2 linked regions of the Stegostoma tigrinum genome follow. The protein of the gene in region 2 interacts with the protein of the main gene of each other region in a pairwise test. Links are inferred from orthologs where the notes say so. Each region holds a gene or a part of one and is shown on either strand. Other genes may lie near its edges. The genes, in order: hacd2 and very-long-chain enoyl-CoA reductase-like.

What was found.
Region 1: the proteins of very-long-chain enoyl-CoA reductase-like (region 2) and hacd2 interact in binary tests that used the Homo sapiens proteins (3 or more experiments, as listed by UniProt). The link is inferred for Stegostoma tigrinum from reciprocal best matches to the Homo sapiens genes TECR and HACD2.

What each region holds. Positions count from the first base shown.
Region 1 is NC_081360.1:97,865,827-97,881,099, reverse strand, and holds the start of hacd2 (very-long-chain (3R)-3-hydroxyacyl-CoA dehydratase 2), read left to right. Parts: upstream 1-7,260; 5' UTR 7,261-7,285; coding exon 7,286-7,413; intron 7,414-12,399; coding exon 12,400-12,517; intron 12,518-15,273. Other genes in the region: stam2 (signal transducing adapter molecule 2), read right to left, coding at 5,901-5,940. UniProt on the Homo sapiens protein: Catalyzes the third of the very long-chain fatty acids (VLCFA) elongation four-step cycle (condensation, reduction, dehydration, and reduction).
Region 2 is NC_081361.1:84,868,441-84,884,176, reverse strand, and holds the start of very-long-chain enoyl-CoA reductase-like, read left to right. Parts: upstream 1-7,958; 5' UTR 7,959-7,966; coding exon 7,967-8,209; intron 8,210-8,304; exon of another isoform or gene 8,305-8,423; coding exon of another isoform or gene 8,424-8,462; intron 8,463-15,736. UniProt on the Homo sapiens protein: Involved in both the production of very long-chain fatty acids for sphingolipid synthesis and the degradation of the sphingosine moiety in sphingolipids through the sphingosine 1-phosphate metabolic pathway.

The sequences.
Region 1 (15,273 bases), on a different chromosome or scaffold from region 2:
ATCAGTCTTTGGAATTCTCTTCTAGAGGAGTTTGGAGAACTGAAGCACTGAATATGGCGCTGCACATTCAAGGCTGAGTCAGACAGAATTCTGATTGACGAGCGAGTCAGGTTATGAGCAAGGAATGGGTATTCAGGCCACTTGTATCTGATCAACCATGAACTTACTAGCAAAGCCGGCTAGGCAGGCCAAATGATCTCCATCTGTTCCTATTTTTTACGATCTTATGAACATATCTACGCCAGGACTTGAGGGTATACTAGACATCAATTGTCAAAGGAAATTTAAAATTAAATATGAGTTAGGATTTAGCTTTTTTTTTTAAAAAACAAAGTTATGCTTGTCCGCAAAGGGGGGCACATGCATTTATGTTTAATGGCACTAGCTGACTTTGTAACGAGAGGGAACAGAGCTGAAAAGGGAGAAAGTTAGGTTAAACCTCATTGATTAGGCCCTGGCTGGAGTATTACATCCATTTCTGGCCCCAAGTCCTGCAGGGGTGACAAACTGATATTCTGTACAAGAAGTTTACTAATGCCATTTCTGTGTTTGATAAGGCAGGTAAACAGCATTGGTTTGGCCATTTTAGGAATAGTGCATGCAATTCTGGTCTAGAGAAAACAAGGTGTGGAGCCGGATGAGCACAGCAGGCCAAGCAGCATCTTAGGAGCAGGAAAGCTGACGTTTCAGGCCTAGACCCTTCATCAGAAATGGGCAAGGGGAAGAGGGTTCTGAAATAAATAGGAAGAGAGTGGGTGGCAGATCGAAGATGGATAGAGGAGGAGAAGATAGGTGGAGAGGCAACAGACAAGTTAAAGAGGCAGGGATGGAGCCAGTAAAGGTGAGTGTAGGTGGGAAGGTAGGGAGGAGACAGGTCAGTCCAGGGAGGACGGACAGGTCAAGGGGGTGGGATGAGATGAATAGGTAGGAAATGGGGTTGTGGCTTCACGTGGGAGGAAGGGATAGGTGGGAGGAAGAATAGGGACGAATTGCTGGTCTCCCTGCTTTAGGAAGGATGCTGTGAAACTTGCAAGGATTCAGAAAAGATTTACAAGAATGTTGCTATGGTTGGCCGGTTTGAGAGGCTGAATAGGCTGGGGTTACTTTCCCTGGAGTGTCAAGGATGAGAGGTTACCTTACAAAAGGTTTATAAAATCATGGCAGGGATGTGGATAGGATAAATAGACAAGGTCTTTTCCCCAGGGTGCATGAGTCCAAAACTAGAGGGCATAGGTTTAAGGTGAGAGGGCAAAGATTTAAAAGAGATCTAACAAGTAATGTTTTCACACAGAGGGTGGTGTGTGTACGGAATGAGCTGCCAGAGGAAGTGGCGGAGGCTGGTACGATAACAACATTTAACAGGCATCTGGATGGGTCTATGAATTGAAAGAGATTAGAGGGATATGGGCCACATGCTGGCAAATGAGACTAGATTTATTTAGGATATCTGACCAGCATGGACAAGTTGGATTGAAGTATCAGCTCTATGGCTCTATGATTCTATAACACAGGAACAGCGTCAAACGACGGTTTCTGTACAAAGGACATCTATTGCAAACATGGCTAAGTAGAAATCTGTCGCAAGCACATGCAAATAGATATTGGTGGCAGGGATTAAGACTTTCAGTGAAGAGATTTGGAGAAAAATATGTGAATTAGGAGGAGTGGGTCATTCAGTCTCTCAACCTGGTACACTATTCAATGATCACTTTTCTGCCTGAGGGTATGTTCTGTTCAAGCTCTTCAAATGATGTTATTATGCACCACTGGAACAGATGGGACTTGAACTTTGGCGTCTTGGTTCAGAGGTTGGGATGCTACCACCTCCTTTTTCATTGCCTGCAACACCATAACTCGCAGACCCCATGACCCCTTCATCAATGAAAAATCCATCTAACATAGCCTTGATTAGATTCAATGACCCAGCTTTCACTGATGTCCGAGGTAGAGAATTCCAAACACCAGTAATCATACAAGGACGAGAAATTCCATCTGAGGAATACACTCACTGCCCTGACTTCCTTGTTGCGGGAGGTTGCTTGATGTACTTAGTATACATTAATCGAGCCTTCCATAATTTTAAGATGTTTCATATCTTTTCCGCTTCTGTACGTATGTCCTATTTTATCCTTGGCTGAAAGAGGGACAGAATTGGCAGCTGAACTTCCCAGGATTTTGATGTTTCAGGTGTGATAGAAAGGGAGAGAAGATGGGTGGGGTGATGCATTACTGTTCGAGGAGTATCGCACAGCTGTACTAAGGGAGGATACATCAGAGGACTTGTGCAGCGAGGCAATATGGGTGGAACTCAGGAACAGGGAAGATGAAGTCACAGTGCTGGGGGTATACTACAGGCCTCAATAGCCAGCAGGTGATAGAAGAGAGAATATGTAGACAGATTTTGGAAAGATGCAAAAACAGCAGGGTTATTGTGATGAGTGATTTTAACTTCCCCTGTATTGACTGGGACTCACTACATGCTAGGTGCTTGGATGGGACAGAATTTGTAAGAACCATTCAGGAGGGATTCTTGACACAGTACGTGAACAGTCCAATAAGGGAAGAGATTATACTAGGCCTGGCTTTGGGAAATGAGCCTGGCCAGGACAGTGAAGTTCACTAGGGAAGCATTCTACGAGTAGTGATCCTAATACCGTGAGCTTTAAGATACTCATTGATAGTGATAATAGCAGTCCTTGGGTGAAGGTGAACTACAGAGATAGTAGGAACTGCAAATGCTGGAGAATCTGAGATAACAAGGTGTGGAGCTGGATGAACACAGCAGGCCAAGCAGCATCAAAGGAGCAGGAGGAGGAGGAGGAGAAGGAGAAGGAAGGCTGGTTAGGCAGGAACTGGAGAATTGTGATTGGAGGCAGCTGTTTCATGGTAAATTTACATCAGGCATGTGGGGATATTTCAAACAGCAGTTGATAAGAGTTCAGGAGAGGCACATTCCTGTGAGAATGAAGGATCGGCATGGCAAATTACATAAACCTTGGTTGACCAGGAATGTTACAACCTTGATCAAAAAGAAAATGGAAGCATATATAAGGTCCAGGAGGATGGAAACTGATGAAGTATACAAGGAAAGTCGGTAAAAACTTAAACAAGGAATTAGAAGGGCTAAAACAGGTCATGAAATGTTGTTAGCAAACAGGATTAAGGAGAATCCCAAGGCTTATTGATAATATATAACAAAAGTAAGAAGGTAGCCAGGGAAAGGGTTGGCCTACTCAAGGGCAAAGGAGACAATCTACGTGTGAGGCGAGAAGAGGTGAGTGAGGTCCTAAATGAATACTGTGTGTCAGTATTCACCAAACAATAGGAATTGGCGGAGGATGATCCCTGGGAAGGTTCTGTCGAGTTTCTAAGCCAGGTTGCTATTAACAAGGTGTTTGGCATCTTAAAAAATATTGAAGTACATAAGTCCCTGGGTCCTGAAGGGATCTAAGCCAGAATATTGAGGGAGGCAAAAGAACAGGTTCAAGGTTCAAGGTTCAAGGCAGGTGGGGGGTTAAAAGGGGTGTGCTAGGCAAGCTTTTCACACAGAGTGGCGAGTGCCTGGAACGCATTGCTAGAGATGGTGATGGAAGCAGAAATAATAGCAGCTTTCAAGTAGTGTCTGGACGAATACATGAATAGGAAAGGAATAGAGAGATACAGACTCTGCAAGTGAAGACAGTTTCAGCAATGGAGGGGCAAATTTGGCAGTGCAGGCTTGGATGGCCGAAGGACTTATTCCTGTGCTGTATCATTCTTTGTTCTTTAAAAGGACCCAAGATCCAAAGAAATCGACATTTACAGATGGGATGCATGTGTGGCTTAACTACTGGCATAGTTTCTTTTAAGCTTAAGACATCAAAATCCAAGATAAAGGAAAAAAGAAAATACAATTAATGGGAGCTTGCAAATGCAGGCCATCTAAAACAATATGCTGTCAAGTTCCATTCCTAGTTCTAGAAGCTGGCCTGGTTTCTCCTCATGGAGTAAATCTAGAATTTGGTTGCACTGTATCAAACAAAGGGACCACTTAAAATACTGAGGGAACATAGAACATACAGGCCCTTCGGCCCACTCTGTGGTGCCAAACTTTTACCCTAATGCTAAATTCTATCTAACCTCCACCCTTACCTTATACTATCATCCATATGCCTCTCTAACAGTCACTTAAATGCCCCTAATGAGGCCGACTCCACTACCCACTCCAGCAATGCATTCCACACCCTAACCACTCTGAGTAAAGAACTTACGTCTCTCCTATATCTACCTCAACTCACTTTAAAACTATGCCCCTCGTAATAGCTACCTCCACCCTAGGAAAAAGTCTCTGGCTGTCCACTCTATCTATACCTCTGATCATTTTGTACATCTCAATCAAGTCACCGCTCATCCTTTGTTGTTCTAAAGAGAAAAGCCCTAACGCTGTCAACCTTTCCTCATAAGACCTTCCCTCCATTCCAGGCAATATCCTGGTAAATCTCCTCTGCACCTTTTCCAACGCCTCCACATCTTTCCTGTAATGAGATGACAGAACTGGACACAATACGCCAGATGTGGCCGAACCAGGCTTTTGTATAGCTGGAGCATAACTTCACGGCACTTGAACTCAGTCCCTGTTAAATGAAAGCTAACACACCATATGCGTTCTTAACAACTCTATCCACCTGGGTGGCAGCTTTCAGGGAACTGTGAACATGAACTCTAAGATCCCTCTGCTCCTCCACGCTTCTGTAACCCTGTATTCTGCTTTCAAGTTTGTCCTTCCAAAATGTATCACCTCACACTTTTTAGGGTTAAACTCCATCTGTCACTAATATCTCCTCTGAGAGGGTTACTTATCTTGGTAATTTTCTACCCAATACAGTGTAGATGCTATCACAGAACACAGTTGAGACCAAGATAGATTTTTGAACCACAGGGCATTTGTGGGTTTTTGGGAGGGGTAATGGCAGAAGTGTCAGACAGGAACATAGAGCTCAGACTAAGATCAGAACAGCCACCATCTTATTGTATAGCAAAGCAAGCTTATAGGGCTGAATGGACTCCTCCTACTTCATATCCAATGCTGTATACTCATCTTGTGCCAAGAGCAGAGGCATTTAAGATGAAAACTAAATACTTGCAGAGTTTTTCCAGCACATTCTGCTTTCATTCCATCTCTAGCGTTTGAAACACAGGAACAGGAGTAGACCATTCAGCCCCTCAAGCTTGTTCCATCATTCAATGAGGTTATAATTGATTTGTAGCCTACCTTCACGTACTCATCTTAGGCCCAAAATCACTTAATATCCTTGCTTAACAAATCTGACATCTGACATAGATAAATTTTAACAACTGATTTAGCATAAATTAATATTTGTGAACGAGAGTTCCAAACCTCTATCACTTTTTCTAACAACTCTTTTTTTATTTGACAGGCTAAGATGAGAACTGATCGAGCCGCTCAAAAGATTTCAGTGGAGCAAATGAGACGCAGCTTTGAGTGACAGAAGGATCAGTTATCAGAACGGTAAAGAGATCAGGTTTTATCCTTGTGAACTTGAAAATTAGGGAACATTTTCTGACGCAACAAGTGGCTGAAAGGGTGCAAATTCAACAGTAATTCTCAAAAACAAACCGACAAATCCTGGGGTTCCAAGAGGACGGTGTTGCAGGATTGTTGGCGGGGGTGGGTGGTCTAAAATCGGGGGGCCTCACGGGAGGAGGGACCGAACGGCCGCCTTGAATGCTGTATCATTCCCTGAGCAACATTTCCTTTCTCCCGGAGACCCTTGGTACTCAACAAGCTGATATAATCAGCTCATTTAGAAGCGTTGTGTCATTTATATAATTAAAAGTGTGTGTTTTTAAAAGCCCGGGGCCGGTTTTAAAATCCCTCAACCCTGACAGGCATAACTTACCGACATCCTGGTCGAAGGGGTTGGTGGCGAAGAAAGGCATAGCTGGGATTACAGTAGGAAAACTTTTTTTAAGTGAGAAATAGCCTTCTGGAGATAGGCCGCCGTCAGGCCTCGGCGTCTCTTCAGCTCGAAGCCCGTAACAGTCGCTCCTTCGCCAGCCCCTGGAACATCCTAACAGCCGAGGCCTCCGACCAAATCTGCCCCTTACGGTCTCAGTTTCTTTCACAACTGAAAGTAGGATAAATATTCTCAGTTTTTCACTCCACCCCTTCTCCGGGAGATGAAATGGCGTCGCAGGAGGAGGTGAAGGGAGTTTGTGATCGGGGGATGTGAAGAAATTATAAAATAAATAATAACTTCACGCTGGTCAGGTGACGCCTCTTTGACCCCGCCCCACTTTCTTCCATTGGAGGCGGTCGTCACTCGGCCCTCCTGTAGTGGGGGGGGGGGTCAGCCAAACTAGGGGGCAGTAAATTGACATGTTCGGGTGGCGCAATTCGCTGTCTGCCCGTCCAGGGGGCAGCATAGGAGGATGACCGTGAGACAGAATTCTCAATTTGCCGGTTTCGTGGGAGCAGCACCGAAGGAGGTATGGTAATTCAGTGGGTAGCCAGCATCATGTACCGATGTCGGGACATTGCAGGGAAGGATACAGGAGGGGAAATTCGCTCAGAGATAATAGGAACTGCAGATGCTGGGGAATCCGAGATAATAAGGTGTAGAGATAACAAAGTGTGGAGCTGGATGAACACAGCAGGCCATGCAGCATCATAGGAGCGGGAAGGATGACGTTTCGGGCCAAGACCCTTCATCAGCAAAAAAAATTCGCTGTCCGCCAGTCCAGAGGGCAGCATCGAGGGAAGAATGTACGAGGGGCAATTTAAGGTCAGCCAAACCAGGGGGCAGCGTGGAGGGGGTGGAACGCAGGAACGGCAATGGAAGGTCGTTCTGGCAGAGGGCAGTATCGGGGAGGACCAAAAAACAAAGTTGCTGGAAAAGCTCAGCAGGTCTGGCATCAGCTGTGGAGGAGCAAATAGAGTTAACGTGAGATAACAAAGTGTGAAGCTGGATGAACACAGCAGGCCAAGCAGCATCTCAGGAGCACAAAAGCTGAAGTTTCGGGCCTAGACCCTTCATCAGAGAGGCTCGAAACGTCAGCTTTTGTGCTCCTGAGATGCTGCTTGGCCTGCCGTGTTCATCCAGCTTCACACTTTGTTATCAGGGAATGCATGAGTGGCATTTCAGGGTCAGCCAATCTTGGGGGCAGTACCGAGGGAGACGTGCGGGAGGCGGGATCGGCAGCCAGCCAATCCTTCAGAAGGGGGTGGGGCCAGGTGGTGGTAAATACTGCGCACGCGCGGCAGTTCAGTGACGGACTGATCACCATGGCGTCGGTCGGGAGTGGGCTTGAACATCAACGTGGGGTTCATGAAGGGCCGCAGAAGAAAAGAAGGGGTCCGGGACCCCTCGCCACTGCTTACATGGTCATCTACAACGTGGTAATGACGGCCGGGTGAGAGCTTACATTTTTAAAGCTGTGTTCCGTACCGATCCCAATTAGCTATCCGGGTCAGGCACTGTTGGCAAATTACCATTTCTTTCCATAAGCGTCTGAAATCCACTGCTATTCTTCAGTGTTGCGTTAATTAACATTATAATAATGCAGTAAGCTCGCTTACTGAAAGCAGTTTGCAAATCGAAAGCAGCAGTCTATTTAACCCCCCCCCCCCCCACCGTGTTCCCTTCTCTTGCAGGATCACTTCCTATTTATGGATGGTTCCTCAGTGAGGGACTACAGTGGTACTGAGAGGGCAAAGATTATTATTTAAAGAAGTTCCTTTTGAAATGAAACATGGGTCGGCTCGTATATCGCAATGGAGGAAGAAATGTATTTTCTTCCCTTCCACCTAAGCCACGTGCATTAGTGAATAAGGACCCCCACCCCCATGTGTAAATTGCTGCCGGAAACCATTGTGATGCGACAGTGGACTTTGTTCTGCTTTTCCGCTCCCATATTACAAAACACAACTGATCTCGTTCTGTCACTACTGTACTCTTCAGATCTTTGGTACAGACTGAGTTTCCTGCTGACCTAAGTCGGCAAGCTTTGTGGGGAATGGTGAAAGCAAACTAGGGGTGTGGTGTGTATTTTTCTAGAGATTGGGAGCAAATGTCTCTTCTCAGTTGGCAGATATCAGCGAGCAAGTTGACTCCCTGTCCTTGGATTGAAACAAACAAATGACTTTTTTCCCCATTCAGCTGTCTGAGAGCTCCCCTGCTGTATATGCCAGAAATGGTATTTTATGTTCCTCGAGGGAGATAGGGATGGTAATGTTCAAGGTTATTAAAAGATGTCTTGATATTTATAGCACTCTCAGTTGAAGCTTTTGTATGCAGTGCAGTAACCTGTAATTATATGCTGATTACACATCAGTGTGAGGAGTGCTTTTTGGAAAGCAACAAGGCAAAAGAGCACTCATTGAACATCCTTGGTATGCATGCCTAAATTCTTGAAGGCAGTAGACTGAGGTAGATAAAGTGCTTTAAAGGCATATGGGATATCAAGGTGAGGCTCATTGGTCTATGGGTATGAGTCTCACTTAAGGTACTGCACAATGGTGACATGCAAGGTTTAATTCCCAAATGAGCTTTCTTGGGGTGGCTCAGTGGTCAGCACTGCTGCCTCACAGCACCCAGAACCCAAGTTCAATTCCACCCTTGGGCGCCTGTGTGGAGTTTGCACAGGTTTCCTTCCACTGTCCAAAGATGTGCAGGTGAGGTGGATTGGCCATGCTAAATTGTCAATAGTGCTCAAGGAATGTGTAACTCGGGTGAGTTATAGGGGGATGGGTCTGAGGGTTGGTGTAGACCTGTTGAGCTGAACGGTATATTTCTGCACTGTAAGGATTCTATGATCTATGTAATGTTTGTTAGGCCTCATCAGTAACAATGCTGTGCAATTCTGGTCACTGCAATATAGGTTAGAATGTGATTGTGAATTTCTTCCACAGCCCCTCTCATGCAATGTGGCCAGGGTTGTACTAATCCAGCTATGAGGGTAACATGGATAGGGTTGGGCTATTTTCTTTGGTGAAGGGAGTGTGGCTTGCAGGATGGAGGGGAGGGTGGTGTGGAGTGTGGAACCTGATTTTGAGGTGTACGTAGTTCTGAGGGGCAAAGGTAGTGTAAATAGGAATATACTTGCCCCTTGGCTAGTAACCAGGGGCACAATTTTAGGGTAAGGACCTGGAGGTTTAGAGGTGATTTGAGAATATTTTTCTCCAAAAGGTTGTAGAGGGTCAAGAACTCACTGCCTACTGTTAGTGGAGGTGGGAACCCTCAAAGCATTTGAGAGCTAGTTAGATAAACACACGAAATGCCATAAGCACACAAAGCTAAGGGATGAGTGCTGGAAAATGGGATGGTTTGACTGGTGTGGACACAATGGGTAAAAGAGCTGCCTCGTGCAGTAAAAACAGGCTGTTTGTCAAACAAACTAAAAAGGCTTTTGAAGGATATGAACACTCTTTACTTAGAAAGCATAAAGGCTTTTATAGGGTATTGGAATCTCTCCTGATTTTTGACATGTAATGACTGTAGGAAACTACAGCAGTCAATTCACATGCAGTAAGTTTCAACAAGCAGTTGCATGGATAAAATCTTCTAGATGTTTCTTGAGGTTAAATATTGAATTGGACACCAATTTTGGGAGGATGGAGGCAATGTAGGAACAAAAAGAGCTGTTTTGCACTTGGGACTGTTTCACCATTAATTGAGATTATGGTTGATCAGTGACCTGAGCTCCACATATCTAAATTTACTCTATATCCCTTGGATTTTTGTCAAGCAATGGTATTTGCAATCTGAATTTAAAAATCCATAACTGAATGTCATATCAGTTGCTGTTTGTGGATGAACTTGCATACCTGTGTAGAAGTTTGTAATTTAAGAGCAGGATTAAGCTATTCAGCCCCTTGAGCCTGCTCCCCTTCCCATTTAACAAGACATGTCTGATCTGATTGTAACTTGTAGTTCACATTACCAGTGGTCCCTGATAACCTTTCCACTCCTCACTTATCAAGAATCCAGACAACTGCCTGAATGTTTAGGGGAGTCTTCTTTCATCTTTGACATGTTTTCCTAATCTGCTAAAATGCATTTTTTGGTAGTTGTATTTCTGTTAATGTTTGATTAGTTTTTTCCTGCCTCTGATTAAAGACACTTCAAAGTGAGTTGGAAGCTTCAGAATGAATTTTATTTTCGTATTAAGCAGACCTGAAATTCAGACTTGATTACCCTCTGCATTTACTCCAGTCTTGCTGACCTCATACATTGTGTCCTCAAATCAGTGTATTTAGGGAAAGTGCCAAGAGAATACTCTTGTCCTAATATCTGTGCCTTCTACCTCAGTTGCTGTGCAGTGTTGGAGAAACAAAGCTGAAAGACAAATGAAAAGTACTGAATATCCCTTTCTGATCTGGAATGGAAACCTAACAAGCACCTGCCAATCTGCTGCCTCTCACAGCAAGAGTAATTGGTCTCTTTGACTTGAAGTTCATAGCAATTGATCTGCAGTCTTAAACATTGAGGCCTAGGGAAGTGATAATGGGAACTGCAGATGCTGGAGAATCCAAGATAACAAAGTGTGGAGCTGGATGAACACAGCAGGCCAAGCAGCATCTCGGGAGCACAAAAGAGGAGCTGCTTGGCCTGCTGTGTTCATTCAGCTCCACAATTTGAGGTCTAGGGAAGCTGTGGCAGCAGAATAATATAGTGGGTATGATGTGGTTGAAGATGTGTTACAGTTAATAATGTCCAAAAAGGCTAATGGAACATTTGTCATTACGTAAATGACCTGAATATCACTGAAAAGAAAGATGTGTTGATGAAAGGTTTAAAATATGATGTTCTTGTGTTTTGTTCTGAGTACAAGACAAAAGCCCTGGACAACCGCACTGAAAAGTGACATTCACACTCTTTTTCACACATTTCATGGGGTTGGGCATGAGAGCCGAGCAGTGTCTTAAATTTCTACTCTGAGCCCATTTCATGTCTTGAAAATTGTCCTGCCACCTCACTTAAAACTTTGGGGGGTGGGGGTGGAGAAAGGCATATGAAAGCAAGCATTAGGAGAGAGAAGTCCAGTGTGAGGGGAGTTGGAACTCACCAGCCGTCATTGTTGCCTTGGAGCCTGGAACTCCAGATGTCGTTTTGTGATTTCTGTGCTCCCGACCACCAGTTTGGAAGTCTGGGATTGAATCCTTGGTATGTGCAGAGCCCTGATTAACCACACTTGGATCACTGATCAGGATATAGCTGTCACTGCCTGGTCCAGCACTTATTTATCATCTAATTGCACTAGTGAAAGCTGCCTTTTTGATCTGTGACGGCCACAGGGATGTAGGTGCACCCTAAGCGCTCTCCAGAAGAGTTTTAGGATTTTGACCTGGTGACGATGAAGCAAGTGTGATACAGTTTGAAGTCAGGATGGTATGGGGCTTTGAGGTGTCCCATGTACCTGCTGCCCTTGTCTTTCTAAGTGGCAGGGGTTGCAGGTGTGGAAGGAGCTGTCCAGGCAATCTTGGGATAAAAGTTAGGAAAAAGCTGCAAATCTTTTGAAGGTGTCAGGGCAAATATATAAGCTAGGAACCAAAATGTCAGAATTGTCAGCTAAGGCATGACTACCATGCACAAACCTTTACAAGTCCCTGGTTAGGTGTCTGGAGCTCTCTTTACAACTCTGGAGGCTGCACTTTTAGGAAGAATTTCCATGTCTTAGGATTCTATGAATTTTAGTGGCATGATGCTAGGGATGAAGCAGCAATTATATGGCTAACTTAAAAAAAACTGATTTCTTCACCTTGGAGTAGCAAAGGTTCTCGTGATGGAAATGAATGGTGGTATTCAGAAAACCTGGCACAGGTATAAAAATCAAAAGAACTGAGCCAGTTCTGTGGAAGGGTCAGTTGATCCAAAGTGTTAACTCTGATTTATCTCCAAAGATGCTGCCAGACCTGAATTTGTCAGCAATTTCTGCTTTTGTTCTGGGTACACTGGTATACCAGGCTGGAATGGCCTGTGTTCTTAGTATTTTTTTAAGATTCCGCATGATCATCTGATCATTAGGGAAAGAAATCTGTCGCCTTTGCCTAACTGTGACTCCAGATCCACAGTAATGAGTGGTTGACTCTTAACCACCCTCTGGAATGGCCAAACAAAATACTCCAATCAAAGTCAATTAGGGATGTTGCTGCAGCACCTGCATCCCATAAGTATAAAGAAAAAGTCATTGGTGTTGAAGCGGGCATGAAACTATTGGGACTGTCGTGAAGGGGAGCTGCAGGTGGTGTGAACGTAACATTTGTGGGAATGGGAACTGTAGCTGAGCAAGTTGGGGTAAGAAAGAGGGATTTGGTGCCATTAGTGGCTGAGTCCTCAGTTTTGCTGCTGAACTGAATGATGTTGCAGTACTGTGACTTAACTGAAATTTTTTTTCCAGATGGTTGGTCATCGCAGTTGGTCTGATCCGAGCTGGCTTGGCGAGGGGTACATACCATGGCCTTTATTACTCCATTGAGAAGCCATTGAAGTTCTTCCAGACGGGAGCATTGTTGGAGGTGGGTAGGACATATGGTCTCCTTTAGGGAGACCTGTTCTGGCTGTGGTCCCCTTTGGCAAAACGCCTTAAACGTTTTTGTGACAATTATTTCATTTGCCATTCTATTACTGTAGAGTTTGCAGGTCAGCAGTTCTGTTGTACCTCCGGTAGTCTCAGCATGGCTTATTACTCAATGGATGTAGCCCTTTGAGCACATCAGCCATCTTGTATGTATATCGTGGAATCAAACTTGGATTGTGTAATGTTTCTGCCCATATTGGGTGGCGCAAGAGCTCTCAATTGCATACCAGTTTTGCTGCTGGGGCTTTGCTGGTTAGCATCTGCCTATGTTATAGTTAATCTACACAGACCACAGGAGGCCCCAGGTATGTAGGTTAACTTCAGCTTGAGTTAGACAAGCTGAGAGAGTCTATTTTAGGCTGGCTAAACAGAACTGACTATCTGAACTGTCTGATACATGCAGAAAGCCATTAACACTTACAGCCCTGTGATCAGATATGCATTTGTCACCTACCTTTTTCATTATGTACAATAAAGAGGTCTTCAGTCCCAGGTCTTAACCTGTCTACAGGAATCTGTTTGCACTCTAGTCTGCTACCAAGGCTGATAAAAGGCCTTGGATCCCTCTCTAGTCACTTCCACTGGCACAAGCCCTTGAAAGTGCTTCTAAGTGGCAGGGGTTGCAGGTGTGGAAGGAGCAGGTGTGGTTTTTCGAGGTTCAGGGCTAAAATGTGCCTTATAGCACTAGCTTGTAAAATGTCATCTTACCCCTATTGTGACCTTTGATTTGAATTCAATCTTGTTTAATTCCCACAACAGCTGCAGTAGGTCAGAAGAGTTGGTGCCGGAGGCCATAAAGCAGATAGATCTGATCAAGTGTCCCAGGACATTGAATAGCTGGGGATGAAGTTGTGGGCCCTCTAGCAGAGATGTTTGTATCATTGACTGACAAGGGTAATGTGCCATAAGACTAGAAGGTGGTTAATGTTGTGCCATTGCTTTAAGAAAGGCTGCAAGAAAAAGCCGGTAAACTACAGACTCATGTGCCTAACATAAATGGAGGTAAGTTGTCAGAGGCGATTCCAAGAGACTACATGCGTTTGGAAAGTCAAGGGTGAATTAATGACAGTCAGTATGCTTGATGCATGGGAAACAATGTCAAATTTGACTGAGATTTATGGGAAAGTGGCCAAGGTAGATGGATGAGAGAACAACATAGATAGGGAAGGGGTTAGGCTTTACAGATTGTGTATATAAAAGCTACTTGAAGGAGCAAGACTCCAAAAGCTGATCTCTTCAAATAAACCTGTTGGACTATGCATTGTATGGTTTAAGGCACTGAGGCCAATTGGGGTTCAGCCATAAATGTTGGCCTTGTCAATGATGTCCACAACCCACAAGTGAATTTTTTAAAAATGGACATGCAAGTACGTAAGGTTGGAATATGCTTGCAGTATTAATGCAACTCCAGTCACCCTCTTTATGCTATTAAATCAGAAAGAGTCCGAAACTGGAAGGTTTGAGTTCTGAGGAGATCATCGAAAGGTTGGGACATTTTCCCTAGAAAGTAGGAGGTTGGGCTTGACCTCCATAGACGTTTATAAAATCACAACAGGAATAGATGATAAGGCAAGTAGACAAGTGTTTTTTTCTTCCCGCAGGGTAGAGGAGTCCAAAACTAGACGGTGTAGGTTTAAGGTGAGGGGAAAGATTTAAAAGGGACCTCGGTCAACCTTTTCACAAAGCAGTGTGTGTTCATGGAATGAGCCACCAGAGGAAAGTGGTAAGGTGGGTACAGTCACAACACTTACAGGACATGGGTAGCAAAGGTTTAGAGGGATATTGGCCAAACACAGGCAAATGGGACTAGTTCAGTTTAGGAAACCTGGTCAATGTGGAGAAGTTGAGCTGAAGGCCTATTTCCATGCTGTTTGCCTCTGACTCAAAGGTGGTTTAGACATCGTGCTTTGAGATGAGCTTTTTGTGATGGGGTTGACTGGCATGCATGGTTGGTTAGTTTAATCTTGAATAGCATGGCTTTGTATATGCTCCACGCTGCCTTCCATCAAAATCGCATTCCTAACATCCTGTTGAACCTTTCTTTTTAACAATTGGTCGGAAAAAGACAAACTTGTATTTCACAAGCACAAGAACCACTTCACCTTGAGTGTGCTCAGTATTCAATTCACTAGTGGCTGATCAGAACGTAGCCTCATCTCTGCTTTTGTTTCCATTCCCATAACTTTTTGAGTCCCTCATGATCAGAAAATTACCTAACTCAGCCTTGAATGAATTTAATGAGTCCACCTTCATTTGTTTTTGGAATTTCCCCTCCAGAAAACAATGACCATTCTTGGAGAACCTTCCCCTCATTTCTGTCTAAATCAATTTTAAAACTCTGATGTTGTGTTTAGTCTTGTCCCCTTTTTAAATTCATTTGCGGGGTGTGGGCCTCACTGGCAAGGCCAGCATTTATTGACCATCCCCAGTCCTCGAGAGGGTGGTGGCAACTCTGCAACATTGAAGGCATAACAATTTATTTCGGTGTCAGGATGGTGAGTGGCTTGAAGGAAAGGCTCCAAGCACTCCTTCCCATGTATCTTCTGCCCTTGTCCTTCGGGATGCAAGTGGTCATGGGTTTAGAAGGTGCTGTTCAGTCTTTGAATTTTATGGCACCTTTCATTTGCCTCATAGCCAATGATGCGTTTTCTGTACTCTTAGTGAACAGATCAGGTAGCATCTGCGAAGGAAGAA
Region 2 (15,736 bases):
CCCAAATATCTTCACTTCTCTACCTCATTTCCTCCTTTTATCGTCTCTTTAGAACTTGCATCTTCAACCACCTTGAGGCCATCTATCCTATTATAACTTCATGTAGTTTGGTGTCGAGGAACACCATCACCTTCAAGTTCCCCTCCAAGCCACTCACCGTTCTGACTTGGAAATATATCGCTGTTCCTTCACTGTCACTGGGTCAAAATCCTGGAATTCCCTCCCTAATAGCATTGTGGTTTAACCCACAGCAGGAGGACTGCAGCTGTTCAAGAAGGCAGCTCACCACCATCTTGTCAAGGGCAACTAGGTATGCTGGCCGGCCAGTGATGCCCACATCTCACGAATGAATAGAAAAAAATCTTTTGTTTGACAACTCTATTGTGAAATCCCTTGGGGTGTCTCACCTTCTTAAAGATGCATTTTGAATACAATAAGTTATTATCATTTGTTGATTACACAACTACAGCCCCGATTCAATTCTAATGTTATAAAGTAAACTCGCACTTGAGAAGTAGGTCAATTATCGGCATTACTGACATTAATATAAGCTGACATTTGCATGTTCTCATTAGAGAATTTCCTATACATCATCATTTGAATGGACCCTTGAGGAAGAATGTTTAGTTATTATTTTGTGTTTGTAATATATGGCGTGATCTAAATATATCACTCAGGATAACACCTTTTTTTACAGTCTTCTATACTTTTAAAAGGAGGTCCATAAGACCATAACATATGGCAGATGTAGGCCATGCTGCCCAACAAGTCATCTCCACCATTTAATGAAATCATTGCTGATTCTCAATTCCACTTTCTTGCATTATCCTCAATACACTTGATTCCCTTAATGATTAGAAATCTGTCTCTCTCAGCCTTGAAATACATCAGAACCCAGCCATATGGTGCCGTGGCCTTGCCTTGGAATAGAAGTTCAAGTCCCATCCCACAGTTTGATTGCCAAGAAAGGCGTGTTCATAGCATAACCAATTGATATAAAATTGCAAATCCTTCCAACTCACAACAGTAGCAGGCAATGAAAGTGGGTGCGATTGATGGACAACTATGAGTTGGAGTGAAAATCGGAGGCAACCATCACTGTTGTAGCTCCACACTATAATCTGCATGTTGCCACAGTAACTTAGACTCTGTGAGTTATTTATTACACACCATCACAGTTTTAAAAATATAATAATGTAATTGTATTATTTGAAAATAATTCAGTTTATTTCATTTGATAAACAAATGCTCAAATGAAATTATGCAAAATACCGCAATAAAATTTAATAAATCTGTATGTTGCAGTTTCATGAAAATTAATTGTTGTGCTGTCATAACTTGGTTAGTTACTTCCTTTCGCACATTGGATCAGTTTCTATTTGTTGTCATGCGTGGAGCAGAGGATGTGTGCAGGTGCAGAGGGAAGTGATGACCTAGTGGTATTATTACTGGACTGTTAACCCAGAGACCTAGATGATGTTCTGGGGACGTGGGTTTGAATCCTGATATGGCAGATGGTAGAATTTGAATTCAATAAATATCTGGAATTAAGAATCTAATGATGACCATGAATCCATTATCAATTGTTGAGGAAAAACCCATCTGGGTCACGAATGTCCTTTGGCGGAGGAAACTGCCATCCTTACCTGGTCTGGCTTTCATGTGACTCCAGATCCACAGAAATGTGGTTGACTCTGAACTGCCCTCTTGGGCAATGAGGGATCAGCAATAAATACTGCCTGGCCAGCAATGCCCACATCCCATAAATGAATTTTAAAAAAATTCCAGACGCTTCCAAAGTTATTCACAATTAAAATTATTGGATGGAATAAGGAAGCATCAACTGTAAACATTCAACCTGTCATGATTAACTCACACAAATGTACAATGATTTCAATACAACAAAGCGTCAGGGGAGACGGTGGGGGGGTTAAATCCTTTTAACAACAGATTTATTAAATTTTATTGCAGTATTTTGCATAATTTCATTTAAGCATTTGTCTGTTTATCAAATGGAATAAACTGAATTATCTTCAAATAATACAATTACATTATTATATTTTTAAACTGTGATGCTGTGTAATAAATAACTCAGAGTTCTAAGTTACTGTGGCAACATGCAGATTGTAGTGTGGAGCTACAACAGTGATGGTTGCCTCCAATTTTCTCTCCATCGGGTGTGGTGGTAATGTCATTGGATGGGATCCATGAAATATCAGGCTAGTGTTCCAACCCACAGCATATGTACTGTCGGGGTTCAAGAAGCAGTTCATCACCACCTTCCCAAGGGCAACAAAGACAGGCAATTAAATCTGCCCAGCCAGCGATACCCATGTCCCATGAGTGAATAAAATAAACATTAATATTGGAACCATTGTTAATGTAAAGATCAGTCTCAAAGTAGGAGTATGAGCTAACTACTGTCCCATATTTATATCCCTATTGTGCAGATACATTGTAAAGTGGCTGCATTGTAAAAGGAAGAGGAACGGGAACTATTCCACTTCTCCACAGTTCAATAGTGACCTTTTATATATGGCACATGTTTGGGCTGATAATTTCATGAATGTGCATAATACTGTCACTGTTGTTAAAATAGTATCAGAGATAATGGGAACTGCAGATGCTGGAGAATTCCAAGATAATAAAATGTGAGGCTGGATGAACACAGCAGGCCAAGCAGCATCTCAGGAGCACAAAAGCTTTTGTGCTCCTGAGATGCTGCTTGGCCTGCTGTGTTCATCCAGCCTCACATTTTATTATACTGTCACTGTAGTAGTTTAAACACATGATGATATTAACAAATGGCACCTGGCAGCACATTTACCAACCACATGAAGACCCAGTTAAAAACATATATTTTTCTGTCTCCCTAAACAAACAGCAGTCTGATTTTAATGTGTATTGTATCGCCTGCAGCTGAAAAGGGAGACAAAGGAAAAAAGGATGAAAGAAAGAGAGAAATAAAGGAGAAAAAGAAAGAGAGAAAAACAGCAAGAGAGGGAGAAAGAAGGAAAGAAAGACTTATAATTGTGATCAGAGATAATGGGAACTGCAGATGCTGGAGAATCCAAGATAACAAAGTGTGGAGCTGGATGAACACTGCAGGCCAAGCAGCATCTTAGGAGCACAAAAGCTGTGTTCATCCAGCTACACACTTTGTTATCTAAGAAAGACTTATAAAGTGTTTTTCATGAGCATCATATACCTTTTAGTGTATTAAGCCAAATGAGTCTTTAAAAGTATTGCTGAAACAAACAATTTGTTAAAGCTTTTGGTCTTACCCTCATTGGGATAATTCACAAGAAACCCCAAAGTAAAGGAAAAATAACGTTGATCTTGACTGTGAACAATGAACAAGAGAATGGTCATCACTTATTTTGTAATTGAAACAGGTGGTAGTGTTCACTTCTCAAAGCAATGCCATGGTTGATCAGAAGCATTGATCTCCCTCTCTTGTTGTTCTTCTCTCTTTCTTTTACTCCTTCTTTATCTCCTTTATTTCTCTCTTTCTTTCATCCTTTTTTCCTTTGTCTCCCTTTTCAGCTGCAGGCGATACAATACACATTAAAATCAGACTGCTGTTTGTTCAGGGAGACAGAAGAATATATGTTTTTAACTGGGTCTTCGTGTGGTCGGTAAATGTGCTGCCAGGTGCCATTTGCTAATATCATCATGTGTTTAAACTACTACAGTGACAGTATTATGCACATTCATGAATTTATCAGCCCAAACATGTGCCATATATAAAAGGTCACTATTGAACTGTGGAGAAGTGGAATAGTTTCCGTTCCTCTTCCTTTTACAGTGCAGCCACTTTACAATGTATCTGCCTTATTTAAAATTTAAACAAAGCTTGACAGTTTTCTGCCAGTCATCATTAACTGGTGCATTTTCCATGGTAACACCTGAATGAATCAGAGTCCATCTGCCAACCAATCAGCACTCTCCTCTTGGCAGTATGAATGTCATTTTCCCTTTACTTTGGTATTTGCAATGAATTGTAATGATGATTGTAATGAAAATATTTTCAGTAGTACTCAAGTTCTTTACTATCAAAAGATTAGTTTTGAAGTGAAGTAATTATTGTAATGCAGGAAGTACGCCAGCTCATATCTAAGGAGGTGATGGCCTTGTGAGATTAGTACTGGAGTGTTAATCTAGAGACACAGCTAATGTTCTGGGATCTGGGTTCAAATCTTGCCATGGTAAATGATGGAATTTAAATTAAATTTTAAAAAATGTGAAATTATGAGTCTAATGATGACTGTGAATCTATTGCTGATTGTCAGGAAAAACCTATTTAGTTTATTAACGTTCTTCAGGGAAGGAAATTTGTTGCCCTTATCTGGCCTGGCCAACTTGTGGCTCCACATCCACAGCAATGTGCTTGATGCTTAACTGCCCTCTGGGCAATTAGGGATGGCACTAAATGCTGGCCTAGCTAGTGATGCCCACGTCCCATGAATGAATAAAAAAATGCATGCAGCAAAGACCCATAAGCTTCAATGTGATAATGACCAAATAATCTGTTTTTGCAATGTTGCTTGAGGGTCAAAGTTAGTCTGGAGACTGGGAACAACTGAGATCACAAGATGTAGAGCTGGATGAACACAGCAGGCCAAGCAGCATCTTAAGAACAGGAAGGCTGACATTTCGGGCCTAGACCCTTCATCAGAAATGGAGGAGGGGGAGAGGGTTCTGAAATAAATAGGGAGAGAGGGGGAGGCGGATTGAAGATGGATAGAGGAGAAGATAGGTGGAGAGGAGACAGACAAGTTAAAGAAGTGGGGATGGAGACAGTAGAGGTGAGTAGAGGTGGGGAGGGGCTAGGTCAGTCCGGGGAGGACAGACAGGTCAAGGGGGTGGGATTAGGTTAGTAGGTAGGAAATGGGGGTGGGGCTTGAGGTGGGAGGAGGGGATAGGTAAGAGGAAGAACATGTTAGGGAGGTGGGGACGAGCTGGGATGGTTTTGGGATGCAGTAGGGGGAGGGGAGATTTTGAAGCTTGTGAAATCTACATTGGTACCATTGGGCTGCAGGATTCCTAAGCGGAATATGAGTTGCTGTTTCTGCAACCTTCGGGTGGCATCATTGTGGCACTGCAGGAGGCCCATGATGGACAGCATTTGCAGTTCCTATTATCACTGGGAACAACTGCTCTGCTCAACTTAAAAATATTGCCATGGGTTCTTTGACATCTACCTGAGCTAGCAGAAAGGAATATCCTTCAATATCTCACCTAAAATGATGACATCTTCACCAAAGCAGCATTCCTTCAGTACTGCACAGGAGTGTCACCCTTGATCTTTGTGCTCGAGCACTTTTACATTCAGAAACTTTCATAAGAACTGAGGTTTGAAGCCAGTAAAAGGAGTATGAATAGCATAAGAGCAAATGGGAGGGTCCAGTTATGGTGGGTGATAGGACAGATTAAATGACAAAGGAGCTGGTGGTGCAAGACCAAGCCTTGTTTTAATTTTCTGGATGGCAGTTGTTCACCTGCTGCTAGTCACACCTCCTGTAGACCAATGTTGACAAACAGACTCACCATTCATTGCATTGCCAGTTGGCTACAGACATGTGATGAATTGATGCTGTTCATTTTTTTGAGCAGCGATAAAGTTACAGAAGTGGTTGAGAGTATGGGCGCGCCTAGTTAGAAGGATATTTCCCATCTGACTTCAATTGAGCAAGGAGGAATTAACCATCTTGCTGTTAGTACTACGAAAGTACTGTCTCCAACAACATAACAATGTAACCATTGCACCTTGACACTCAAGGACGTTACCGTCACTCAATCCACCCAGTGGTGTTACCGTAAATCAGTATCCACTGTGATGGAACATTCCTTACTTGCCTGTATGACTGTGGCTCCAATGATACTCTAGAAGCTTAACAAGACTAGGACAAAGTGGCTTGCCTGATTGGGTGTGGATGTGGTGCCATTCACTTACTTTACCCAGATGCTCAGTAGCAGCAGAGTGTACCACCCACGAGATGTACTGCAGAATTCCACAAAGGCTCCCTAGACAGCACCTTCCAAGCCGATGACCATTTCCACCCAGAAGGACAAGGGCAGCAAATGTATGGGAACGCCACCACCTGCAAGACACTTACCATCCTGACTTGGAAATACATTGTCATTCCTTCAATGTTCCTCAGGCAAAATCCTGAAACTCCGTCCCCAGTGGTATTGAGGGTGAACATATCCTAAATGGAGTGCAGCAGCCCAAGAAGGCAGCTCACCACCACCTTCTCAAGAGCAACTAGAAATGGGAAACAAATTTGGCCTAGCTGGCGATGCCCACATCCCATGAATATATAAAAAGACACGATTAAATCATAAATCAGTTCCACTGCAATTGTTATACCATAGTTTAGTTATTGGTTTCTAGTGACTGAAACCCTTTGAGGTGCCATTTGCTCAGTAAAACAAGAAAATGTTTGTTTTAGTTGAATAAAAATCTTGCTGTTTGTGATCTTCTGTGTTTCTATGTTCCTTGGGTGTCGCTAAATAATGGTATCAATGGGGAACTAGCCGCTGTGAGCTCACACAATTTTGGGAAATCCAGAACAATGAGGAATTTAGCTGCTCAACTTAAAAATATTGCCATGGGCGTGGATTACAAACCCTCATGAAAGCTGATCTCTCCTGGCTCTGGCAGTGGGTGTGTTGGGGGCTTGGTTAGCTCAGTTAGTTGATCTGTGACTCAAGTAATACCAACAGTGTGGGTTCAATTCCTGCATCAGTTGAAGTAGCCATAAAGGACTTCCTTTCCGCTCTATCCCCTCACCTGAGGCATGGCAACCCTCAGGTTAAACAACAGCCAGTCATGACTCTGTAATGAGAGAGCGAGCCTAGTCCTCGCACTGATGTGAGAACTAGGGCCACGGCAATTTTAACTGTATTGAGTGTAGAAGATTGAAAACATCAAAACTAATGTTAAAATATTTCACATTGATTTCTCTAATCTTGCCTTTCTGTCTCAGATGGTGAATACCACACCAGTTATAATCTCTTCCAACCTGTTCTGCCAAGTGGAAGCTACAAAAGCTGAAACACACTTACCAACCACCAGGTTCAAGAACAGCTTCTCCCTCACGGTTATTAAACACCTGAACAGACCTCTCAAATTTCAAATCTAAAGTTGATCTTGTTTAATGTGCACTTTCTTTGCAGACATAACTATGCATTCCTCCTCTGATTGCGTATTGTCTTTGTATGGTTCGGTCTGCCTATACTGTGTGCAAAACAAAACTTTTCACTGTCCCTAGGTACATGTGACAATAATAAGTCAAATTAGAATCAAAAAGGTGACTGAATCTTCAGAAATTTAGAAAGCATTGGTCAATATCGCCACTGCAGACTTATCAGCTGTCTCTTACACAATTCCAGTTGGCATAATAGTACCAACCTTTTGTCATTTATTCTCTCGGGATCACAAGAACTTCCCTTTGGCTCTTCAACCTCTCAATCTCCCACTTTTCACTTCAAGCTTGTTACAAACTCTAACCTTAACCATGTTCTGAGGAAGAGTCCCAAACCAGGCACATGGTTTCTCCGTGATAACAAAATGTGAGGCTGGATGAACACAGCAGGCCAAGCAGCATCTCAGGAGCACAAAAGCTGACGTTTCGGGCCTAGACCCTTCATCAGAGAGAGGGGGATGGGGGGAGGGAACTGGAATAAATAGGGAGAGAGGGGGAGGCGGACCGAAGATGGAGAGTAAAGAAGATAGGTGGAGAGGGTGTAAGTGGGGAGGTAGGGAGGGGATAGGTCAGTCCAGGGAAGACGGACAGGTCAAGGAGTTTCTCCGTCCAGTGATGCTGCCAGACCTGCTGAGTATCTGCAGTACGTTCAGCTCCTTTGCTCTAGTTGCAGAACACGGCGGTTTGAGAACGAAGGTTCCCCCTGGGAGAAAAACGACGAGGTGAATTTTGAACTTTCAACACGATCCTGTGAAATGTCACTCGAATACAATCGAGTGGTGACCGCTCGGATCCCAGTAAGGGATAAGTTTCCCGTGCAAACGCCACTATCCAGAGACAGGACGGGTTGGAATGGAGAGCAAATCGACCCCTTGGAGCTACACAGCTGCTGTTCGAACTCACCAGTGGCAACAACCGTGCGAATCGCTTGTCCCTGGGTGTGGAGCAATGGGAATCGAAGACCGGCGCTAAATTCCCGTGGAGTCATTGAGACCGTGGTGTGTGTGTATGTGGGATGGGGGGAGGTGCTCCCATTCTTGGTCACATTTCATTCTTAGCTCCACCCTTGGATAGAGTTTCCCAGAGCCCAAAGGGGAGATGGCTGAGCGTCCGTTTCGCTGCCAAACAGGTCTAGCTTTGCTGATCCTCTGAGCTGCTCCTGAGATCTGCACAGCGTGCACTCGGAGGGGAGTCCGGGTGTTTACCCTCGGTATGAGTCCTGCAGCCATGAGCCGGGCCACTTTCTTCGAGGTAACAGGGTTAACCGCTAAGGTAGTAAGAGACCTGCACCAGAGAATCTTTGCTTAGAACCATTTAAACATCTATTGCTGAGGAATCGGTCTTCACTGTGTAGTTGAAAGTAATGTACGTCTTGGTGCTCAACCAGACCCAAGTTAGAATTGTTTGCTGCTATATTGAATGACAAAGGCGTGCGAAAAGTCAAAATAAAGTGAGCCACAGCATTTTATATCTGTTTGGAGCGTGCTCAATGTTGTGCTCATTCAGAAAGTGCAATTGCTCGTGTTATTAATTGGTGTCAATATTTGTGTAAGTGTGGATGCAGTAATTCTGGTTCTTCCGCAGTTACCCATCGTGAATTGCACTGAAAACTGTTGTGATGTGAAAGGGGCTGTTACTTCGGACGGTGGGTTTTAGGTTGTGTTGTTAACTGGAGTGATGCACTCGTGGCCGATGTGCAGACATACTCGCTCACGCCAAGGGCATTCATTGGTTTTTCTTTGCACCATGAGATTCCCAGAAAATTGGATTTGGGGCGAGGGAAGCAGCATTACAGCGAAAGAATTGGGAGCAGGAGATAGGCATTCGCCCCCCCCCCGCCTCTTCGTCATTCAATAAGATCATGGTTCGACTAATTATAACCTCAAATCCCCTTTCCTGCCATTCTCCAAGAATCATGGTTCGACTAATTATAACCTCAAATCCCCTTTCCTGCCATTCTCCAAGAATCATGGTTCGACTAATTATAACCTCAAATCCCCTTTCCTGCCATTCTCCAAGGCCTTCCACTCCCCTGTAGCTCCAAAGTCTGCTAACTTATCCTTAAATATATTCATTGAATGGGTTTCATATTCAGCAACTTCCATTGCTTTTTAGGGGTAGAGAATTCCAAAATATCATCACCTTCTGAGTGAAATCTGAAGTAGATGTACCCCTATTTTCTGCAAGTTCCTCAATTTTCCCTTGGTCCTAGATTCCCCATGAGGGGTAATATCCCCTTAACATATATTCTGTCAAACCCCATCAGAACCTTCTTTGGTCCTGTTGAATTGAATCATAAAACGGTTTCAGCAGAGTAGGAGGCCATTTGACTCATCACATGTGTCATCACTCTGGAAGTGCAATTCACCCATTGCACCTCCTTCATGGCACTGTACATTCCTTCACTTTGAATAACAATCCACATTGGCAGGTAGTGCATCCCAAATCCTAATCACTTGCTGCTTAAGGTACTTAGAATCGTAGTCGTAGAAGTCTACAACACAGAGAAAGTCCCATTGTGTCCGTACCTGTCTAAAACAACCACCTAATTATTCTAATCTTGGCCCATAAACTCATATATTCCTTGGTATTGCACATCTCGGTACTTCTGAAATGTTATGGAGATTTCTGCCTTGACTGCCCTTGTAGGCAGCGAGTTCGAGATTCCCACCACTGTCTGGATGAAAACGTTTTCCCTAGCATCCCGTCTAAACGTTCTGCTCCTCTTGTTCCTCAAGTTGCCTTTGGTTCTTTTGCCATTCGCTCTAAATTGGTTCATGACCCTTCTATGAGGAAGAAGTTTCTCCCCATCAGCTCTGTCCAGACCCCACATGATTTTGAAATTCTCCAGCAAATTTTCTCTGCTCCAATTTCTTTAGGAGGACAACAACCCAAACTTCCCAATCCATCTTGTAGCTGAGGTTCCTCATTCCTGGAGCCATCTCCTGGATCTTTTTTGTATCTATTGACTGCTTTCACATCTTTCCATGTCAAAGTGTGATGCTTAGAACTGGTCACAATACATAAGTTCAGGCTGACCCAGGATTTTAAACAGGCTTATCACTCTTCTTTATTTTTGGACTCTAAACCATTATTTGTGCAGCCCAGGATTCTGTTTATTTCATCAACTGACTTATGCACATATCATCACAGGGGTCTCTGCCCAACACCTCCTTTAGAATTGTATCTTCTATCAAAATGAATCATTTCAGCTATCACTACTCATTTTTCTAAATTCCATTGATTATAGGCCCAACTTCTTCAATTTTAACTCAAGACAATCCATTCATTCCACGAATCTGTGAAAGTTCTATGAACTGCCACCAATGCAAATGAAACCCCCCCTTTAAAGAAGGAGACCAAAATTGTACTCAGGATTGCATTTTAACTGTCAGCAAAACATTCAAGATTGAATTACAGTGTATGACTCTCATTTGGACTTTAGACAAAATATAAAATTAATTCCAATTGCTATCTCGCATATCCTAATTTTACAAGTTAAATTTGTATGTTTTTGTAAAATATACTGATGGGTGTGCATTTTTGGGAGTTACATAAGTTGGGAGGGGATGGCTCAGTGGCATTATCACTAAACCTATTAATCCAGAGACCCAGAAAATGTTCTGGATGCCTGGGTTCAAATCTTGCCCTGGAAGATAGTGGAATTTAAACTCAACTAAAATCTGGATGATCACGAAAATGATTGATTAAATATGGGGTAAAATCCTGTCATCAGTTCACTAATGTCCTTTTAGGGAAGGAAACTGTCATTCCTACCTCGCCTGGCCTATATGAGACACAAGAATCTCTGGGCAATGAATGCTGGCCTTACCAGCAATACCCACACCCTGTGAATACACTTTAAAAAAGACATTTAATGACACTGGTGGATTGTAGAATTGATAGCTTATAAGTTTATAATAATTCACTTGGTGAACAAATCTAAAACTGTCTCAAGTTGGATTTTGAGTCTTTTTCTTCACAACATGTAAAATGTTTAACACCTTTGTCCTAAAACAAACAATTTGTCATAGATAAGTGAAAACAAAAAAAATTGAAAATCATAGCATGTCAGGCAGTACCCGTGGAGAGACAGCAAACTAACTTTTCAAATCCAGATGACTCTTCATTAGATCAATTAGATAATCTATATTCTTCCATAATTTATGAAAACATCAATGAAATCACTCCTTAACCTACCAAGCAAGCAGACCAGGAATATAAATGTTTCTTCTTGTACTTTAACATTACAAAATGAATCCAAGAATCATTCTTTTCTTTTTAGGCCAAAGCAGGTGAACTGACATTTTCCTAAATTAAAATTCACAATATAGAGATATTTTCTTTTTTATTTCATGGGATTTGGACATCACTGACATAGACCCTATTTACTGCCCAATCCTAAGTTCCCTTGAACTGGTGACTTGCTAGGCTATTTCAGTGGGCAGTTAAGAATCAATGATATTCCTGTGGATCTGGAGTCACATGTAGGCCAGAATAGATGAGATGGCAGTTTTCCTTCCCTGAAGGGATTGCAGTAATGATGACTGTGAAACTAGCTTTCAATTCCAGATTTTATCCATTAATGTAAACCCCAAAAGTTGGCGTGGTGGAATTTGAACCCATGTCTTCAGAACTTTAACCCAGGCCTCTGGATTATTAGTCCAGTAAAATTTCTATCAGGCCATTATCTTCCCTACTGAGCTGTCTCTATATTGCCTTCTAAAGTAGGCACAGCATCTGCCCCATCCCTGGTCTCCATTCTGGCTGCTCCAATGATGGAGAGAACTGTCTCCTGTATTGGTGTGAGGACATACAACCATGCCTGGCCCTTCAGGTGTTGCTGCCTCCGGTTTTATAGGACATTTTTCTGTTTGAGTGAGGCAGAGAAAAGTCTGCCAATCAGTTTGCAATGTGCTTGGATGATGTATCTAACATAAAGGAATATATATCACTGTGGACAAACTAAAACACGTGAGTTGCAGCTGTACTGAGTGCATGAGGATGACGTGATGCTGCAACTGAGAGGTGTGAGTTATGCTTGATAGAGAACGTCAGTAAATGAGTGAAGGGGGTATTCTGAATGGAACATTGCATGAGGATAATAATTCATTCACTAACCTTAACCACTCATGAGTCATTAAACTTTTTCCTGTGGTGTGCTCAGGTTCTTGGCACCAGAATACTGGCATTGAATGCAACAGCAAGCCGCTCTCACTGTCTTCTCAGTGTCTGTCAGGACAGTTTTCCTTGTTCCTTGAGGAAGAGGGCCTCGCCTGTGCAAAAGTCTCTATGACTGTGTTGCAAAACCTTGGAGCATGGTTTCCACTGTGTTCCCCCATTTAGAACATTGAACAAAAGAGCCCTTCAGCCCACTATGTCTGTGCTGATCATGATATCATTCTATGCTAATCCCATCTTCCTGCACGTGGTCCACATCGCCCTACTCTCTGCCTGTGTCTGTCTAAATGCCTCTTAAATGTTGCTAACGTATCTGCTTCTATCACCTCCCCAGCAACACATTCTAGGCAGCTACCACTCTGTGTGTAAAAATGTTTTCCTTGCACATCTCCTGTAAATGTCTCCCCTCTTCCTGGTATTTGACATTTCCACTCTAGGAAAAAGACCTTGACTATCCTCGTTATCCATGCCTCTCATGATTTTACGTACTTCTGTCAAGTTACTCCTCAGCCTCCAATGTGGTAGCCAAAACAATCCAAGTCTGTCCGACCTCTCTTTATAGCTAATACATTCCAACTAAAGCTCCACCTTTCTCTCGAGAGGACTGGTGTATGAACAGCCATAGGACGTTGGTGAGACCCCATCTGGATGATATAAGAACACATGCACAGAGGTGCGCCATTCAGTCTATTGAGTGTTTTCCCCATTCAATACAATCATAGCTGAATATAAGCACCTGTTACCCACAAAATCCTCATAACCCTTACATTATTGATGATCACAAATTTATCAACCTTGACCATAAATGTATTCTTGAGTTTTAACAGCCCTCTGAAGTAGACTATTCCAAATGAGTCACCTTCTCAGTAAAATCAGTAATTCTCCTCATTTTGGCTCTAAATGGCTTCCCTATTATTTTGAAATTGTGGTCCCTGGTTCTAAAAGACTCCCCAAACAGGGGAATATCTTAATTGCATTTGCCCTGTTTTTCCCTTTGATTATTTTATAGGTTTCAATGAGATCACCTCTCATTCTTCAAAACTCTAGAGAACCAGACTCCGATTAGCCAATCTCTCCTCTGAGGACAATAGCACCACCCTGAGAACCAGCCTGGCGAATGTGCATTTCACTCTCCATGGCAATAATGAGCCAGCTTTTCCAGGCAGTCCTTACTCCAACAGAGATGAAAATTCTGCACGAAGACCCTGCAGAATCCTCATTGTAGCACACTCTGAAGGAAAGTGTGGGAAATTCCTGGGCAATTCCTCAATGCCTGGAACCCTCTTAAAAAAATCTCCCTAAAAGTCAGAAACTTTGAAAGGTTCAGATGAAATGAAGTAAAATAGTTACTCAGAAACAATAAGCTTGTTAATTACAAAACTAGAGCGTATAATTTTAAGGTGAGAGGATACAGATTTAAACAGGAACTAAGGGGCAGCTTTTTCACACAATTGGTTGTTCGAATGTGGAATGAACTGCCAGAGGAAGTGGGAAATGCTGATGCAGTTACAACATTGAAAAGATATTTGAACAGGTACCTGACTAAGTAAGGTTTATAAGGATGTGGGCCAAATGCAGGCAAATGGGCCTAGTTTAGTTTGGGAAACTTGGCTGGCATGGATGAGTTGGACTGAAGAGTCAGTTCTGTTCTGTGTGACTCCATGGCTCTACGTAGCTTAACTGCTGATGACCTATTTAAGAGACTCCATACTTATCTCACACCCCTCCCTAGACCCTTAACACATCCCCCCACTCCTAACCCTAACCCAAATTGGATCCTGACACCTGTATTCCCCAGCAACAAACTCAGGGACCTTAACAACCCCTGCCCTCCCCCACTCCATCACCAAAATCAGGGAACCCAATAAACTCATGTGGACCCTGATAACCCCACCAACCCTGGATCCAACACTTGCCACTTCAGGACCTGATGCCTCTCCCCAGTTCCCAACACAGTTCCTCTCCCCACTCCTTTACTAGACTCCACTTTCCCCAACCCCTGCCACTGTGGTTCGAGCTGACCTTGCGTCAACCCTCTCCCCACCTGGCACCACATCCACTTGGCACTACACCCTGCCAGCACCCTAACATCACCATGACATTGCGGCTGACAGGACCTTTAAATTTCAGACTGTGGCTGTTGACTGCTGAGAAAAGGAGATGTGGTTTACTACCCCTGTGCTACAAAAAGAATCGTCACAAAGGAAAGATTCTTCCACATTTCTGGAATCTCCTCTCGGAAATGCAGGACTCCCTTTTCTCATTTAAATAAGGGCAGAGTGTTGTCACTCTCCAAAAATCTGGCCTAAGTATATCAAATGATTTGTTTATTTTGGTCATGTTGGATAGGATTTGGGATGGAGAGAAGGGATGAAAGGATATAGAGGCTAGGGCTGGGAATGGCCTTCAGTGGCAGCACCCTTGACCCTGAAGGTCCCCAGATTGGAACAAATGAAGCTCTCTCCACAACCCAGTGGTTGAGTTGAGCCAGTTTTCCAGGTGGGTGACCAGTCACTTGCCTCACCTGTCAGGAAGATAGATTACTGGCCAGACAGTGAGTGGATCCCATCAAAATGGCTGTAAATTGAGCATTTTTGGGCCATAATTGGTAGCAATTTAAGAGGGTCTCCATGGACTTCTCATCCAGAACTTAATTATTGAGGAAGCAAGAAGGGGTCAAGTTTCTCCCTGAGGCCAACTCCCTTAAATTATTTCCTCTTCTCACCAGCATGCTCACTAACTCCAAGAGTGGAGTGCAGATTTACAAGAATGATTCTGTTGCTTAAAAAGTGTTAAATTTTGCAAACTATTAATACAAGTTTGTATTCCTTTGAGTGTGTCAGACTAAACGATGACTCACTGAAGGATTAGTGATGAATGGATTTATAGAGTAGATGAGGAGAAGCTACTTTCTTTGGGTAGGACAGTCAAGAACAAGGAGGCATAAGCTTCACATTAGACCCCCACTGTTCAGGGGTGGTGTCAGAAAGCACTTCTTGATCCAAAATGTGATGGAAATGGTCAGGAATCTAATTTAAGGCACAGCAGATATAGGGGCAACTATGAGAAGGAGGCAGTCAATATAGGACTGTGGGTGTTGTACTTAAATGAACACAATATAGGAAACAAGGTAAGTGAGCTTGTAGACCACATTGAAATTGGCAGAAACAATGTTGTGGGTATCACAGAGACATGGCTGCATGGGGATCAGGGCTAGGAACTAAGTATCCAAGGATACACAGGCAGATGGGCAGAGGGGTGGTGTTACCTTGTTAGGAAGAAATGAAATCACATCTCTAGAAAGAAGTGGCATGGAGTTAGAAGGTGTAGAATCTGTGTGGATA